Linked DNA regions of Pelodiscus sinensis. The protein of the gene in region 2 purifies or fractionates together with the protein of the main gene of each other region. This does not show direct contact. Links are inferred from orthologs where the notes say so. Each region holds a gene or a part of one and is shown on either strand. Other genes may lie near its edges.

Region 1 (6,870 bases), on a different chromosome or scaffold from region 2:
TATTCTTGCTATGCCTAACAAATGTAAACCAAATACTCCTGTGGTATAACACAGAAATGCACACACCAGTTCGAAAGCCCTGCTGACCAACTTTTCTACATTTCTAATGTTAGTCTCTCCTTTCTCCTCATCTATGGCTTTAATTAAGATGTGATATGGGTTCTATTCCCTCTCATCTCCTCAAATGCACACACATGCGCAAAAAACTGAGCCCAACATTTACAAAGCAGATCTATTATTCCACACTGCTGATCTCCTCTCAAGCCTTCTACATTCTACCTACCCAGATCCACACAGATGAGTTAGTACTTACTGTGCGGTTGTCTCTCTATTTTCATAATGGATCATGTAATTATCACCTAATGTCAGGGTTTCCCAAAAGGTCTCAACCCACCTATGAGTCATAGAGGGTTTAGATAGGTTGCACGTAGAGATGTAAAAAATGTGCAAAAATAGTAACTGTGTAATGGATCAAAATTCTATCAGTTACATGGTTAAACAGTTTACCTGGGGACCTAAGGGTGCCCTCACTTCCAGGATCCAGGCTGCTGTCCCTGTGCCGTGGGCTCTGCTGCCAGCGAGGTCGTGGCAGCCAGCCCTGTGCTGCAGGCTTTGCCGCTGGCAGCATCCCAATGTGCACAAGGTCCCGGCTGCCAACCCCTCTCTTGGAGCCCTAGCAAAGTTTAACCGTTAACAGAAACCAATAAGCATCAGCTTATCGATTAACCAGTTAAAACTTTTACTAGGGATGTAAAAATCACATTTAAAAGGCTAACCAGTTAAATGTTAAGATTAATCGGGACCCTGTGGCACATGCAGGGGGCTGCTCATACCGGGCTGGGCCCAACACATCATGCTGTGGGCAAGGTCTGCTCTGACCTGGCTGGGCTGCCAGTTAACTTGTTACCCCAGTAAGCATGCCAGTAAGATTAATGCTTACTGGATAACTGGTTAACCCTTTACATCTCTAACTCTTACTTCCCTGGTTGCAGGCCTGGTGTGGAGGGGGAAGGGGCTGTAGAGGGAGCCTGTGGTGATTAACAGTGGCTCATCACCTCACAGTGGTGGCTCCTGTCCTACAGGGTTGAGAACAGTTTCCTATTCTGAGCATTGTGACGTGATGCAAGGCACTGCAGCACAACTTAGGTTTGGCCCAGCTACCCCTCCACAGCTGGGCCACTCCTGAATAGTGCCGCAATCATGCAGCAGGTCACAATGCCTGGAGCAGAGAGCTAGGTCCAGTCCCATAGGACAGTGACTGCTGCTGTACAGGTGAGTGTGAAACAGGCTTAGTCTCAAATGCACCTGAAGGGCCTCTTCTCTACACAGGAATTATGGTTGCATTGTGAGGGTAGATGGTTGCTATGAGTGGTCAATGCTACAGCCTCAACAGGGTAAGGAGAAAGCAACAGCAGTGGAAGATACTGACAACTTATGCTTTTCAGCCCTTGGGTAGGTCACAAAAGGAGACAAAATATAGTTGGTGGATTACTTAAGTAAAAAGTTTCTGAGACACTGCCCTGTCACAATTATTACTTATGCATGTACTTCACCTACTTATGGTGGCCCTCTGAGTCTCAAGATATATTTTCTCATTGGGAATAAGAGATGCTACTATTGCCCACTGGAAAACATTCATTAAAATGCAAAGAATTCTAAAAAAATTTACCTGTGCATAAACAGATATCTAACATGAGAATAACTGACCTAATAAAACTAAATATGGCACCTTCTTCACCTTTCATTAACATTTAGCATGGTAGAATGTCATTAAGTGACTATTGTGGAAAACAGCTACTAATGCTTGATGGGAAAATACTAGTTTTCTGGGATGCAGCATCCAAATATTGGTGGTGAAGGGATGGAAGAAAAGAACTTTAATGGACTGAGATTAGGAAGCATTGTACTCCTCCTGTACCTTCCAATAAAGCTTGGGATGTCCTGGGGAGGGGGGATGCAGGCATTCAGAACCCCCCCAGCCCCTAATATGGGGAAAGTTTTTTAAACAAGCATTACAACTCTGAGTTCTCTATTTTTCAAACAAGAGGTCTTTCCTATCTCTCCAGCTCCTGAACATAATGTGACTATGTAATGTCAAAACAAACTGTTCCGGGGACAGAAACAAGAGCTGTGTCTACACTGGTGGGATCTTGCGCAAAAACTTGCTGCCTGTCTACACTGGCCGCGTGTTCTTGCGCAAGTAAACTGATGTTCTAATGTATGAAATCAGGGCTTCTTGCACCAGAACTCTGACGCTCCAGCTCAGGAATAAGCCCTTTTGCACAACTATTCTTGTGCAAGAGGCCAATGTAGACAGGCAACATGAATTTTTGCACAAGAAAGCGCGATGGTTAAAATGGCCATTGGAGCTTTCTTGCGCAAGAGAGCGGCTACGCTGGCACGGATGCTCCTGTGCACACGCACAAGCCAGTGTGGACGCTCTCTTGCAACTCCTTTAAGGCAAGAACCGCGCTAAAGAGTTTCTGCGCAAGCTCAGCCAGAGCCCTGCAGCACTGTAGAGACCAAACGCGTATCACGGCACAAGCCTTCGCCAGGGCGGGAGCGGGCTTGAGAGGCCGCATACGAGGCGGGCGAGCCGCGCTACTCACTGTTGTACTGCACCCCCTTGGCGAAGCGGCGCTGCAGGGCCTGGTTCATGGACTGCAGCCCGGCAGGGATGTTCTTGTCGCGGCCGGGAGCCTGGTCCGAGCCCACCAGCTTCTTCAGGGCCGAGAACATCTTCCCGCCGCCCGCCCCGGGGCAGGCGCCTCCCGCCCGCTGACAGGCTGCGGCCGGGCTTACGTGGCCATGGGCGCCGAAGAGCCCCGCGCAGGCGGGAGGAGCCCGGGGCAGAGGGCGGCGAGGCGGGGTCTCGACGCTGCCGACGGCTCCTCTGGGCCGGGCTCAGCCCCGGCCGGCGCCGCCACCCGCTGAGGTGAGAGGAGTCGCTCAGCCCCCCCGCGCCGCCGCCATCTTGGTCCCTTCGCTTCTAGAGGGAGGCGCGCAGGCGCGCCGCGTAGCTACGGCGCCGCGCGCGGGACAAGAGAGTGACAGTGGCGCGCGCCCGCCGGCCGAGCCAGCCCTTCCCCTTTGGCAGCCGGCCCGGCCCACATCCAGCCGGCGGGCAGGGGCGTCCGCGGGCCGGGCTGGCGCCCTGAGCCAGGGCCTGCTCCCACACGGCCCAGGCCTGGCTGGGCTTTGCCAGAAAACCAGTTGAGTCTGCTGGAGTTGTCAGCGCAGCTCCGTGCACTGGCATGATTATCACAGGCCGCTGGGACAGCTGGTGCAAAGCCAGTCTGGCCACAGGCCGCCCTGGTCCCGCTTCTGCAGCATAAGTGGTAACAGATCAAACCTGTGGAAAACACCTGTCTGCCCCACATGCATGCTCACAGCCCCGCATGTGTGTTCTCTATCCCCCACATGCATGCTCACAGCCCCGCATGTGTGTTCTCTATCCCCCACATGCATGCTCACAGCCTCGCATGTGTGTTCTCTATCCCCCACATGCATGCTCACAGCCCCGCATGTGTGTTCTCTATCCCCCACATGCATGCTCACAGCCCCGCATGTGTGTTCTCTATCCCCCACATGCATGCTCACAGCCTCGCATGTGTGTTCTCTATCCCCCACATGCATGCTCACAGCCCCGCATGTGTGTTCTCTATCCCCCACATGGATGCTCACAGCCCCGCATGTGTGTTCTCTATCCCCCACATGCATGCTCGCAGCCCCGCATGTGTGTTCTCTATCCCCCACATGCATGCTCGCAGCCCCGCATGTGTGTTCTCTATCCCCCACATGGATGCTCGCAGCCCCGCATGTGTGTTCTCTGTCCCCCACATGGATGCTCGCAGCCCCGCATGTGTGTTCTCTATCCCCCACATGGATGCTCGCAGCCCCGCATGTGTGTTCTCTATCCCCCACATGCATGCTCACAGCCCCGCATGTGTGTTCTCTATCCCCCACATGCATGCTCGCAGCCCCGCATGTGTGTTCTCTATCCCCCACATGGATGCTCGCAGCCCCGCATGTGTGTTCTCTGTCCCCCACATGGATGCTCACAGCCCCGCATGTGTGTTCTCTATCCCCACATGGATGCTAGCAGCCCCGCATGTGTGTTCTCTATCCCCCACATGGATGCTCACAGCCCCGCATGTGTGTTCTCTATCCCCCACATGTATGCTAGCAGCCCCGCATGTGTGTTCTCTATCCCCCACATGCATGCTCGCAGCCCCGCATGTGTGTTCTCTATCCCCCACATGTATGCTCGCAGCCCCACATGTGTGTTCTCTATCCCCCACATGCATGCTAGCAGCCCCGCATGTGTGTTCTCTATCCCCCACATGCATGCTCGCAGCCCCGCATGTGTGTTCTCTATCCCCCACATGCATGCTCGCAGCCCCGCGTGTGTTCTCTATCCCCCACATGCATGCTCGCAGCCCCGCATGTGTGTTCTCTATCCCCCACATGTATGCTAGCAGCCCCGCATGTGTGTTCTCTATCCCCCACATGGATGCTCACAGCCCCGAATGTGTGTTCTCTATCCCCCACATGTATGCTAGCAGCCCCACATGTGTGTTCTCTATCCCCCACATGTATGCTCACAGCCCCACATATGTGTTCTCTATCCCCCACATGTATGCTAGCAGCCCCGCATGTGTGTTCTCTATCTAGAGCAGGGCTACTCAAGATGCGGCCCTGCAGCCCACGGTGCAGTTTGGGTTTACATGGGGCTGAACACACGGCCTACAGGTGGAAATCCCTTGAACATGACCTCCAATGGGAACACGCTCCACAACAGCAAGGCATCTCTCAGGCAGAGTGAGCATTGAAAGACACAAGAGTATCATGTGGCCCCTGGGGCTTCCAAAGTGGAGTAGCCCTGATCTAGACTGTAAGGAGCTGTTGCCAAGTTGCCTTGTTCTTGAAGTTGGGGTTGTGGAGGGCTTGCCTTGAAAGGGCTTTTTCTTTTATTTTTGCATTTCAAAGATGGCAACCTCACTGAGCACCCTGGCAGGATTTGTCCCTCATCAGCCCAAGCGCCCAGTTTTTCAGGGTACTGAGTGGGCCTGGGCAGCATGAGGCCAGTCAAGGAAAATGAAGTCCTTTATTGAGTCTGAAATAAAGTTACTTTTGGAGTGAGGCCGCGGCCTAGTGATTTAGGTGCCTTTCCTGCCTCCGCGTTGCTTCTTCTTGGCAGCCTTGGTCATGGTTTCAATCAGGCGCGCACCCTGCTTTTTTATCTCTTCTCGGCTTGGCACATAGCTGTGGTCAATGTCAGCAAAATCAAAGGCATCTGCAAAAGAACAAAGCCTACTACAGCAGGCTGGGAAACTGTGTCATGTGACAAATGGGGGCTAAATCCCCAGCACAGGTCACCTGTATTTGGGCTCATGGTGTCTTTGGTGGAGAGGCCATTGACAATGTTGTTGAAAACTCCCTCCAGAAGCTGGCTGGGATCCTCCTTCTAACTACAAGTCCACAGTGCCCACCCAATTCCAAGGCCTTCATACCTCTAACAGCATCTTCTTCATCCTCAAAAGAAATCTTCAGGTTCTGGCGCTCTTTCCTTGTACTTTCCTCCAGGAAATTCCTAACTTTTACATAGGTCTGTAAAAAACACTTCAGGTTAAATACTGCATAGGTGAGGGGAGGGGAAATGAGAATGGGAAGAGTAGGTCTGCATTTCCAACAGAAGAGATCATTTCCAGCTCCAGGACTAAGCTAGCATGCTAAATGTGGTGCCTATCTGCGGAGGTGCAAGGAGTGTAATTCCATCTCAGACCATGTGGCTAACTTTATTCTGTCACCCAGGAGAGGTGATCTAATTTGGGTATAAAGCCCCATTAAACCTGGCAGGCTTCTGCATTCACAATAGTGCAAACCAAGGCTGGGAGACAGTCTCTGGTTGCTTAGATAGTTGTTCTTGATTTCCCTGGTTTGCACTATTTTTACTGCACTTTGCTCAGATGCTGCTCAGCAGGGGCCTGTACATTCATTAAAAAAAAAAAAAGAAAGATGAGGGCAGCTGCAATATGCCTGGGGGCTCCTGGCCAGGTACCAGGGCAACCCCTTTGGCTGGGTAAAGTTTAGGCATTTCCAACCCATCAGCACGTGTGTTCTGGGGCCTCCTCCGGGCTCTAGGGAGAGGAGACCTGCTGCCTGAGGGCTTCAGCAGCAGTGTGGCTATCCCGTTGCCCAAGCCCAGCCTCTCAGGAGACAGTTCAGGTCTGCCAGGGAGGAACCGCACACCTCATTGTTCTCCTCCCTGCTGAAGTTGTAGGATGGGAGGTTGGTCATGACTTTTGTCAAGTGCAACAGCTTCGTCTCACAGAACTGCAGCTTGTCATACGCATCGCTGGTGTCCACGCGAATGTCACCCTAGGGGCAAGGCGACAAAGCAATAAACATAGTGCCACTTCCAGAGACTCCTTCCAGGGCCAGTTTCTGAGGTGGGAACCAGCAAGTGGGAATAAGCATCAAGGAGGTTCAGGACAGGGGATGAGAGGCCCTGGCAATTAGAGAATTGCCTGCTGGGTGCTAAGCAGAGGGACATTTATAAAGTGCCTCTCCCCACATACTTGCAGCCATACTGACTAGGAGGTGTTTAAATTAGCATCTGGCTCCAAACGCATGTTGGATTCCTATCCAAACAAAGAATGTGGCATTTACCACCCAGTTCCAGCCATAGAATCAGAGAACACTAGAACTGGAAGGGACCTTGAGAGGTCACCAAGTCCAGTCCCCTGCCCTCTCGGCAGGACCAAGCACTGTTTAGACCATCCCTTATAGATTTCTGTCCAACCTGCTCTTAAATATCTTCAGTGATGGATGATTTTGCGGAAAAACTTGCCAGTCTAGACACAGCCC
Region 2 (7,670 bases):
ACATATCATGCTGACTCTGTTCTTTTAATAAGCTAGAACAAGTAAGAGTAACACCTTTACATAGACAGAGGGGATGAAAGGCTTGCTGACACTTTAAAAATTAGCTCTCCTGAGAATCAGGGATAGTGTTTTCAACTCAACAGAAGTGGAGGGAAAAATAGTACATGGCAGGGAGGGAGGACAGATTGGCTGCTGACCAGACAAGAACATGGCTGCTTGCTGATACAAGTAACCATTAGTGTGAGCAGAACAGAGAAAAAGGATGGTCTTGTTAGTTAAGGTTCTGGGATTCAAGCAGTGTCAATTCCATTCCCCATCTTCTACATGCTTTTTGTATTTGTCATCTGAAGAAGTGGGTTGTGCCCATGAAAGCTCATGATACTAGCTGTATTTTTTGCTTAGTCTCTAAGGTGCTACATGACCATTAAAAAAAAAAAATTAGATACAGACCAAGGCAGCTACCCCTCTCAGCATTTGTGTGACTGTCAGCAAGTCACTTATCACCTCACTTCTGCATGTGTAATCAGTCATCCCCCCCCCCCTTTGTCTAGACTTAGACTGTAAGTTTATGGAGAAGCAATTTTCTCTTAACATCTGTACATTCCACTGAAGATTCAGTGGGTACCCACTGAAAGCTGGATCAGTAGGGCTACTGGAATGAAAAACAGATCAGTAACAGGAAAGGGACTAAGCACAGAGAAAGATGACTCTGAAGCTAGTTGAAACAAAATACAGGACCATGTAGCACTTTAAAAGACTAACAAGATGGTTTATTAGCTTTCGTGGGCCAGACCCACTTCCTCAGATCATATAGCGGAAGAAAATAGTCACAACCATATATACCAAAGGATACAATTACAATAAAAAAAAAAGAACACATATGAAAGGTAGTATTCAGGCTGAAGCTAGTATTCAGGCTGTGTGTCATGAGGGACTCTTACAGATTTTTTTTTTTTTGCACTGGTGCTATCACCGGTGAAAACTGCCCTGCTGGGAACCCTAATGATAGCAAGGTGCTCATGGAGCTTTTTTATCTCCATCAACAAACTCCCCACAATAAACCTCAACATGGTTCTGGAAAGGGCTGTTTAGAAACTGGAGCTGTGTATAATAACACTCCCAACATTAGTGCCATTAGACAGATTAGTAATTTTCCCCTGGAGTATACAAGAGCCACTTGAAATTAAGCTGCAGCACTTTTCAATACAGTTCAAACGCACCAATTACTGACAAATTATCAGCAAATGTTAAATTTCCTAACAGACAAAGCTTCAGAGAAACCAACTGTTACCAACAAACTATTATTCTGCTGTTAATAAACTGAAGGCAAGGCAACACCAAAAAGAAAAATATGCAATAAACCTAAATAAGCACATGACCTATTTTAATCCCCTTTCTATCTTCCTGTTCTCATGCCATTGCTCATCACCTATACACACAGAGGGGGAGAGAGAGAGAGACAGACACTAAAATCTTTTCAGGGCAGAGACATGTATTTAGTGATCCTATATCCTGCCTAGCAAACTTAGCTGCTTTATAAATAAACTCTTTCACCAAAGAGCTTGACATAATAGATCACTTTGCTTAATATGTTATATTTCCAGAATATCAAGATTGTGGATTGCAATATTCTTGAAAGATTGCTTCTATGAAATACGTGTGGGTGTGATGATTAGTGAATGGGTCAGTTTAAAAACTTTTAAATAAAAAAATCCAGACTATTAAAAGACTACAAGAATTTGCTTCTGTATGCACATTTACTTATTCAATTCAGACAACAAAACCAACATGCACAAAGCGCTGCAGTGACCCGTTAAGCACTCAGTGCAAACCAAAATGTACCCATCCCACATAAATCTAGTGTTTTCATTTCTAGCTTACTTATCAGAAATTTAAGTGTTAAGACATTAACCCCAAATTTTTGCGTTTATATAAAATATATAAACGTCTCCTGTTTTCATTCATAAATGGGAACCTAAATATGATAATGGTGATAGATATAAAAGTTAAACTGTAAAACAAGCCTATTCATGGGGAAAAGGTTTCATACAGAGATTAATGTATAGAGACTAGGAAGATTAGTAGCAATTCATTTTCTTTTACACCACGGAAAGCTTCCGGGATCCAAAGTTAAACTCATTTGCAGTTATAAAGACAGTTCTTACGAGTGAAATACAATCTGAAATCCTAAGACTCAGGACAGAGCAAATTAAAAACAGACTCCGATATTAGATCTCATTACGGCACACTTATGGAGGGGAGAAAGCAACAGCTCCATGGATTAAAATACATTCAAATGTTTTAAAGTGAAAGGAGTTAGTGAAACTGAAGTGGATCTCTGCTCGACTTCGGGCTGTTGAGAATTTTTTCAGTAAGTTTGACCAGTCAGGAGATATTACCCAGCCGGACTGGAACACCAGGAAACGACACACCAAAGATTGGAAATACCTTCGATTGCTCCCGAACCTTCCCTCCAGCGCAGGAGAACCCCGGACCCACCTCGGCACGCCTCGTTTGGGGGTGAAGACAGCCCAGATGCTATTGCTAAGCCCACGTGCATTGCACTCCACAGTTAGCCAGCCAGGCAATCAATTCTCACGGGCAGCAGCGCCCGGATCCCAGGGCTGCGTGCGGAACAATGGAGGGACCATGGATTTCTAGGGGATCCGAGCTAGCTGCCACCAGGCCTTTGTCATGCAACCCCCCCACCCCACAAGGAGAGCAGCCCCGAGTGGCGGGGCTAACACATATTCACCTGCAGCGCCCCGAGCCCCGCTTCCCCGCAGCACAGCGGCCCCTCTCCCCCCCGCCAGCCGTGGCAAATATGGCTGTGAGGACCCGGCCCGCCCCATGCCTCCGCCCCCAGCTGCACGCACAGGTGGCCGTGGGGCTGCCTCCAGCCGTGCGCAAACCGGGGCTCCGCGTAAGCCGCTTGCAGCCGCCCCCGGGGGCGAATGCGCTGGAGTCCTTTGATGATGATTTTTGCATGACGAAGCAGGGGCGGGGGGGACCCAAATGCCCAGGCGGGGCTGGTCCTGCAGCAGGAAAAGCGCCTGTTGCAACTGGTCCAGCCGGAGCCGCGTTATTTTCACAGCGGGCACCCGGCTCCTCTCCACGTCTCCATCAGGCGCGCGGAGGCCCACTCTGCCGCCCCCCCCCTGCTTCCCCTCCTCGGCTCCGCCTGCTGCCGGCCGCCTGTCGCCCTGGTTGGAAGCTGCTGCAAGAGGCTGCCGAGAAGCCCCGGGGCTGCGCTGCTAGAGCCTGAGCATGAAGATGGCAGCGGAGGAACCACAAGCCAAGAAGCTCAAGCTGGACCCCCCCCAGCTTAGGTAATTGGCGAGGGGCGAGGGAGAGACTCGGCTGCACCCCGGGGGGGAGCGGGCAGCACAGCATAAGGGCGAAGTGCAGCCTGAAAGTCAAGCCGGGAGAGGCGCAGAGGAGGGCGGAGCGCACGTGCGCCGGGGCTCTGGTGCGACTTGCGGGCACTCGGGCCGGGGTCTGGGGAGGGGACGTCGCCAGAGCGTGCGCCCAAAGGCATCTCGAAGGACTCAGCGTTGCTTTTGCGGTTGCACATTAGCGCAGCCGCCCTCTCTGATACTTGTGGATATTAGAGTTGCCGGCCGGCTTCTTTTCCTGCCTTCTTTTCTGCAACACGTGCACTGGGATAGGCTCAGGTGGCTTTGTAGGAGTTGAATTTGCTGCCATAGAATAGTGATAGAAATGTAGCCGTGTTAGTCTGGGGTAGCTGAAGCAAAATGCAGGACAATGTAGCACTTGAAAGACTAACAAGATGGTTTATTAGGTGACGAGCTTTCGTGGGCCAGACCCACTTCCTCAGATCAAATAGTGGAAGAAAATTGGCACAACCATATATACCAAAGGATACAATTAAAAAAAAAATGAACACATGTGACTTGTCCTTTTCATATTTGTTCATTTTTTTTAATTGTATCCTTTGGTATATATGGTTGTGACTATTTTCTTCCACTATTTGATCTGAGGAAGTGGGTCTGGCCCACGAAAGCTCATCATCTAATAAACCATCTTGTTAGTCTTTAAAGTGCTACATAGTCCTGCATTTTGCTTCAGCTGCCATAGAATGTGTGTGTGTCTGTGTTTTAAATACCCCCGGTACCGGAGATTGGGGAATGGAGTGACCTTTCCTCTTTCTGAACCCTAGGGAAGGTTGCTAGATTTAGGTCGCTCTTTGGGGGTGTTGTTTCTACCGACCCTCGACTCCAGTCCTTCATTGGATCACCATTGCACCTTAAAGTGTGCCGGTCCCGGAGGCAAATGTGAATCAACGGCAAATCGCAGCACAAGGAACAGAGAACTTGTTTGTTAGTGAGCAGTGGATTTGATCTTTCTGTACAACAGGGCAGGAGCTGGGGGTTTCCAGTATCTCTTCTGGCACGTGGTAGTATCATGCATCTTGCCTTGCCTGAGATCTTGTTCTGAATGCCAGGCATTTGGCAGTGTCATGTGCTCTGTGTGTGTGTGTGTGGGGGGGGGGATTATTACACTTTTCCTTCTGTCACTCATAGCCAGATTTTATCTAAAACCAGATGATGTCCCTACATAATGCTCTGAGTACGGACTGAGGCACTTCATAACGGCGCCTAGGTTCTTCCTAGCAGTTTGGAATATTGGGGACAGAGAGAAAATGGGATGGTTGCAAAATGCAGATCAGTAAGTACTAACAGTTCAGCAGACAGCTGTGAAAGGAACAGTGTCCTTTTGAGGAAGCTGACAGTAGGAGCCGCAGAGGAGGAAAAAAATGCAAGTCTGCACTAATTCATTCAGTGACAGCATGGATGCCGCTGCTGGGTGTCAGGAAGGACACACTGCTATTAAGCATCTGAAGTAACTTCCTCATAGATGCCTGGGAAGATATTTGACTACAGGTTGGCCCTCCCTGGTCTGGCACCCTCGGGACCTGACTGGTCCGCGGACAAAGAAGTTCGGTGAACCAAGGGAGGCCGGGGGAGGAGGGTATCAGCCTCCTTGCAGGGCTCCTGTCCCCAGCCACTGGCCCCTGCCAGCTCCAGCACCCCCACCAACTCCATGACACTACAGGCTCCAGCAGCCCCACTGGCTCTGCAGGTTCTGCTGCCTTGCTGGCTGCAGGCTTTGTCAGCTTTGCTCACCACTGGCTGCAGGCTCTGCTGCCCCATAGGCTCTATGGCCCTGCTGGCCTGCGAGTTCTGCTGCCCCACTGGCTAGCTTTGCTCCTAGCCACCAGCAATCTCTGCCGCTGGGGCGCTCTGGTCCAGCAACATCCCGTGGTCCAGTGTTGCCAGACCAGAGAGTCCTGGACCACAGAGGTTCAACCTGCAGAAGCTGAAAAAGGGCTTAGAGATCCCAAACTGGGAAGCACTATATAGACATGCAAAGTGTCATGATTATTATTAATACGATGCTTTAGGGAGAAAACCTATTTTAAGAGACTAAAGCTATCCAGTACAATGGCATTCCTTGCTTTGTATATATTCTGTTAGCACCCAGGAACCTCCAACTGTATTTGGCACTGGGTCCCTGACCCAAAATTTTTTTCCCATCCCAATGTGCTTTTCCTTGCCGCTCCCATAGCAGCAGAGGGCTTGGGAGTGGCAGGGGGCAGGGAGCCACATGTGCCCCCAGAAGCAGGGCACCAGGTAAGTGCTCCACCTCCATCCCCCTCTTGTCCAGAGCCCCAGTGCCCTCTGTGGGCTGGCCAAATCTTGAATCCAGCACACCCTGTTTTGCAGGGTTGCTGGATTAAAGAGGTTCAAGTGTAGTATGAATAGACAGGCAAAACAGGGTGGAGCTGGGTTGAAATGAGGATACAAAATGATAACTTTTACTAAAAAATAGAAATTTTAGCGTGCTGCTTGTTTAGTCATTGCTAAACAGAAGTGATTTGCAGGCATCAAGGCAGAGTGAAGTATTAAAGATGGATTTAAAGAAGATAAGATGGCAGCACTGCAAATTCTGGTGGGGAATTTCCCCATGCATGGGAGACTGCATGAGATGCTTGGTACCCAGTCAGGCCAGGGAATCTACTATCCTTGGCAGAACACAGGCCAATGACTCAATCCCATTATGAAATACAGGTTTAGGTGGTTAAGAATCGTTTTACCTTTCGGAAATCAGAAAGCCAAGTTAACAGCTATTTTTCTTGTTATTGTATAGGTCTGAATGTAGGGTTGAATACTTGTTGTTCTCAGTTGTACGTATGGGATATTTTGATTATGAATATCTCAGGTGTTTAAAAAATGAATAAAAGACAAGGATGAAGTGACAAGTTGGTGTGAGTTCAGGTTTCCCATTTGTTATTTAAACAGGATTTTGGAATGGTTTAAACTTCTAATTGATTTATGCAGAGCTTATTGTAGGACATTTAAAAAAACCCTCACTCATCCATAATGAGAGCTCCACAACACTAGCCAGATTTCAGTGTTAATTCAAATTATATACCAAGCATTGCTGCATGATACCGGAAATACTTTTTCTGTTATCTGAGGAAAATAAGTTAGTTCAATGTAGGGATGTAAAATTGCAATTAATCAACTGTTTAAATGAAATGTTTAACCAGTTAATCGTTTAACCAGTTAATCGTTATCCTGTGGGCAGGGTACTGCTCCAGCCTAGCCAGACTGGAGAGCCTCCCTTCTCTCCCCCCTCCCCCCCCGGTGATATATTGTGGTTGGTCCAACTGGTGTGGAGTACCCCCCCTTTTTTCCAGTATGCCCAAGATACAGTGGGGCCAGGACTTCCACTGCACTGTAGCTGGACAGAGTCCCACCTGGGCATGCAGGAGAGATGGCTGCTGGCGGGGTGGAGGGGGGGGTTGCCCAGCAGGGCCAGTAGGGCAGTGGGGTTGGTGGCAGGTGGTGGAGCCTTCTACTGGTTCAGCAAACTCCCTCATCCAGGACTAGTTAGGTGCCAGAGTAGGGAGGTCCAACCCATATTAAGTAAAGGTGCTTTAACACTGGGATGAGAACAGTCATGACAAAAAGTCACAGATGACCTATTCTTTCTAAGGGCTAATTTACACTGCCACTCTTCTGCGCTGTAACTTTCTCGCTAAGAGATTTTGACCCCTCCTGCCAGCCCTAGCACAGCAAATTACCATAATGTAAAGCACCAGTGTAAACAGGCTCCTGGTGCTGTTAGCTACTCCCCTTGTGAAGGTGTTTTATGTGGAGCTCTGGGAGAACTCTGTCCCAATGCTGGTACCATGACTACCCCAGACAAAACCCAAGTTAAGTTTGACATTTTTTGTGTCAGTGCATCTATTGGGGTACAGGCAGTCCCCGGGTTACGTACAAGATAGGGACTGTAGGTTTGTTCTTAAGTTGAATCTGTATGTAAGTGGGAACTGGCATCCAGATTCAGCCGCTGCTGAAACTGATCAGTTTCAACAGCGGCTGAATCTGGACACCAGTTCTGACTTACATACAGATTCAACTTAAGAACCCCAGGCATCCCCAAGTCAGCTGCTGCTGAAACTGATCAGCAGCTGATTCTAGGAAGCCCGGGGCAGAGCAACTCTGCCTCGGGCTTCCTGTAGTCAGCCGCTGGTCAGTTTCAGTAGCGGCTAACTTGGGGACGCCTGGGGCAGAGCAGCTGGGGTGCTGCCGGGTTGGTCCAGTAGCGCCAAGGAGCGGTGCTGCGGCAGAGAACCCGGG

The links. The genes of interacting proteins can lie anywhere in the genome.
Region 1: the proteins of AP3M1 (region 2) and RABL6 purify together in Homo sapiens (co-immunoprecipitation; 3 studies listed by BioGRID and IntAct, counting the BioPlex papers as one, with this or other methods). This does not show direct contact. The link is inferred for Pelodiscus sinensis from reciprocal best matches to the Homo sapiens genes AP3M1 and RABL6.

What each region holds. Positions count from the first base shown.
Region 1 is NC_134732.1:400,708-407,577, forward strand, and holds the start of RABL6 (rab-like protein 6), read right to left. Parts: upstream 3,006-6,870; 5' UTR 2,740-3,005; coding exon 2,610-2,739; intron 1-2,609. Other genes in the region: CCDC183 (coiled-coil domain-containing protein 183), read right to left, coding at 5,160-5,296, 5,514-5,610, 6,253-6,381. UniProt on the Homo sapiens protein: May enhance cellular proliferation. May reduce growth inhibitory activity of CDKN2A.
Region 2 is NC_134718.1:7,351,500-7,359,169, forward strand, and holds the start of AP3M1 (AP-3 complex subunit mu-1), read right to left. Parts: upstream 3,008-7,670; 5' UTR 2,989-3,007; coding exon 2,877-2,988; intron 2,829-2,876; exon of another isoform or gene 2,756-2,828; intron 2,737-2,755; exon of another isoform or gene 2,561-2,736; coding exon of another isoform or gene 2,449-2,560; intron 1-2,448. Other genes in the region: ADK (adenosine kinase), read left to right, coding at 3,268-3,329. UniProt on the Homo sapiens protein: Part of the AP-3 complex, an adaptor-related complex which is not clathrin-associated. The complex is associated with the Golgi region as well as more peripheral structures.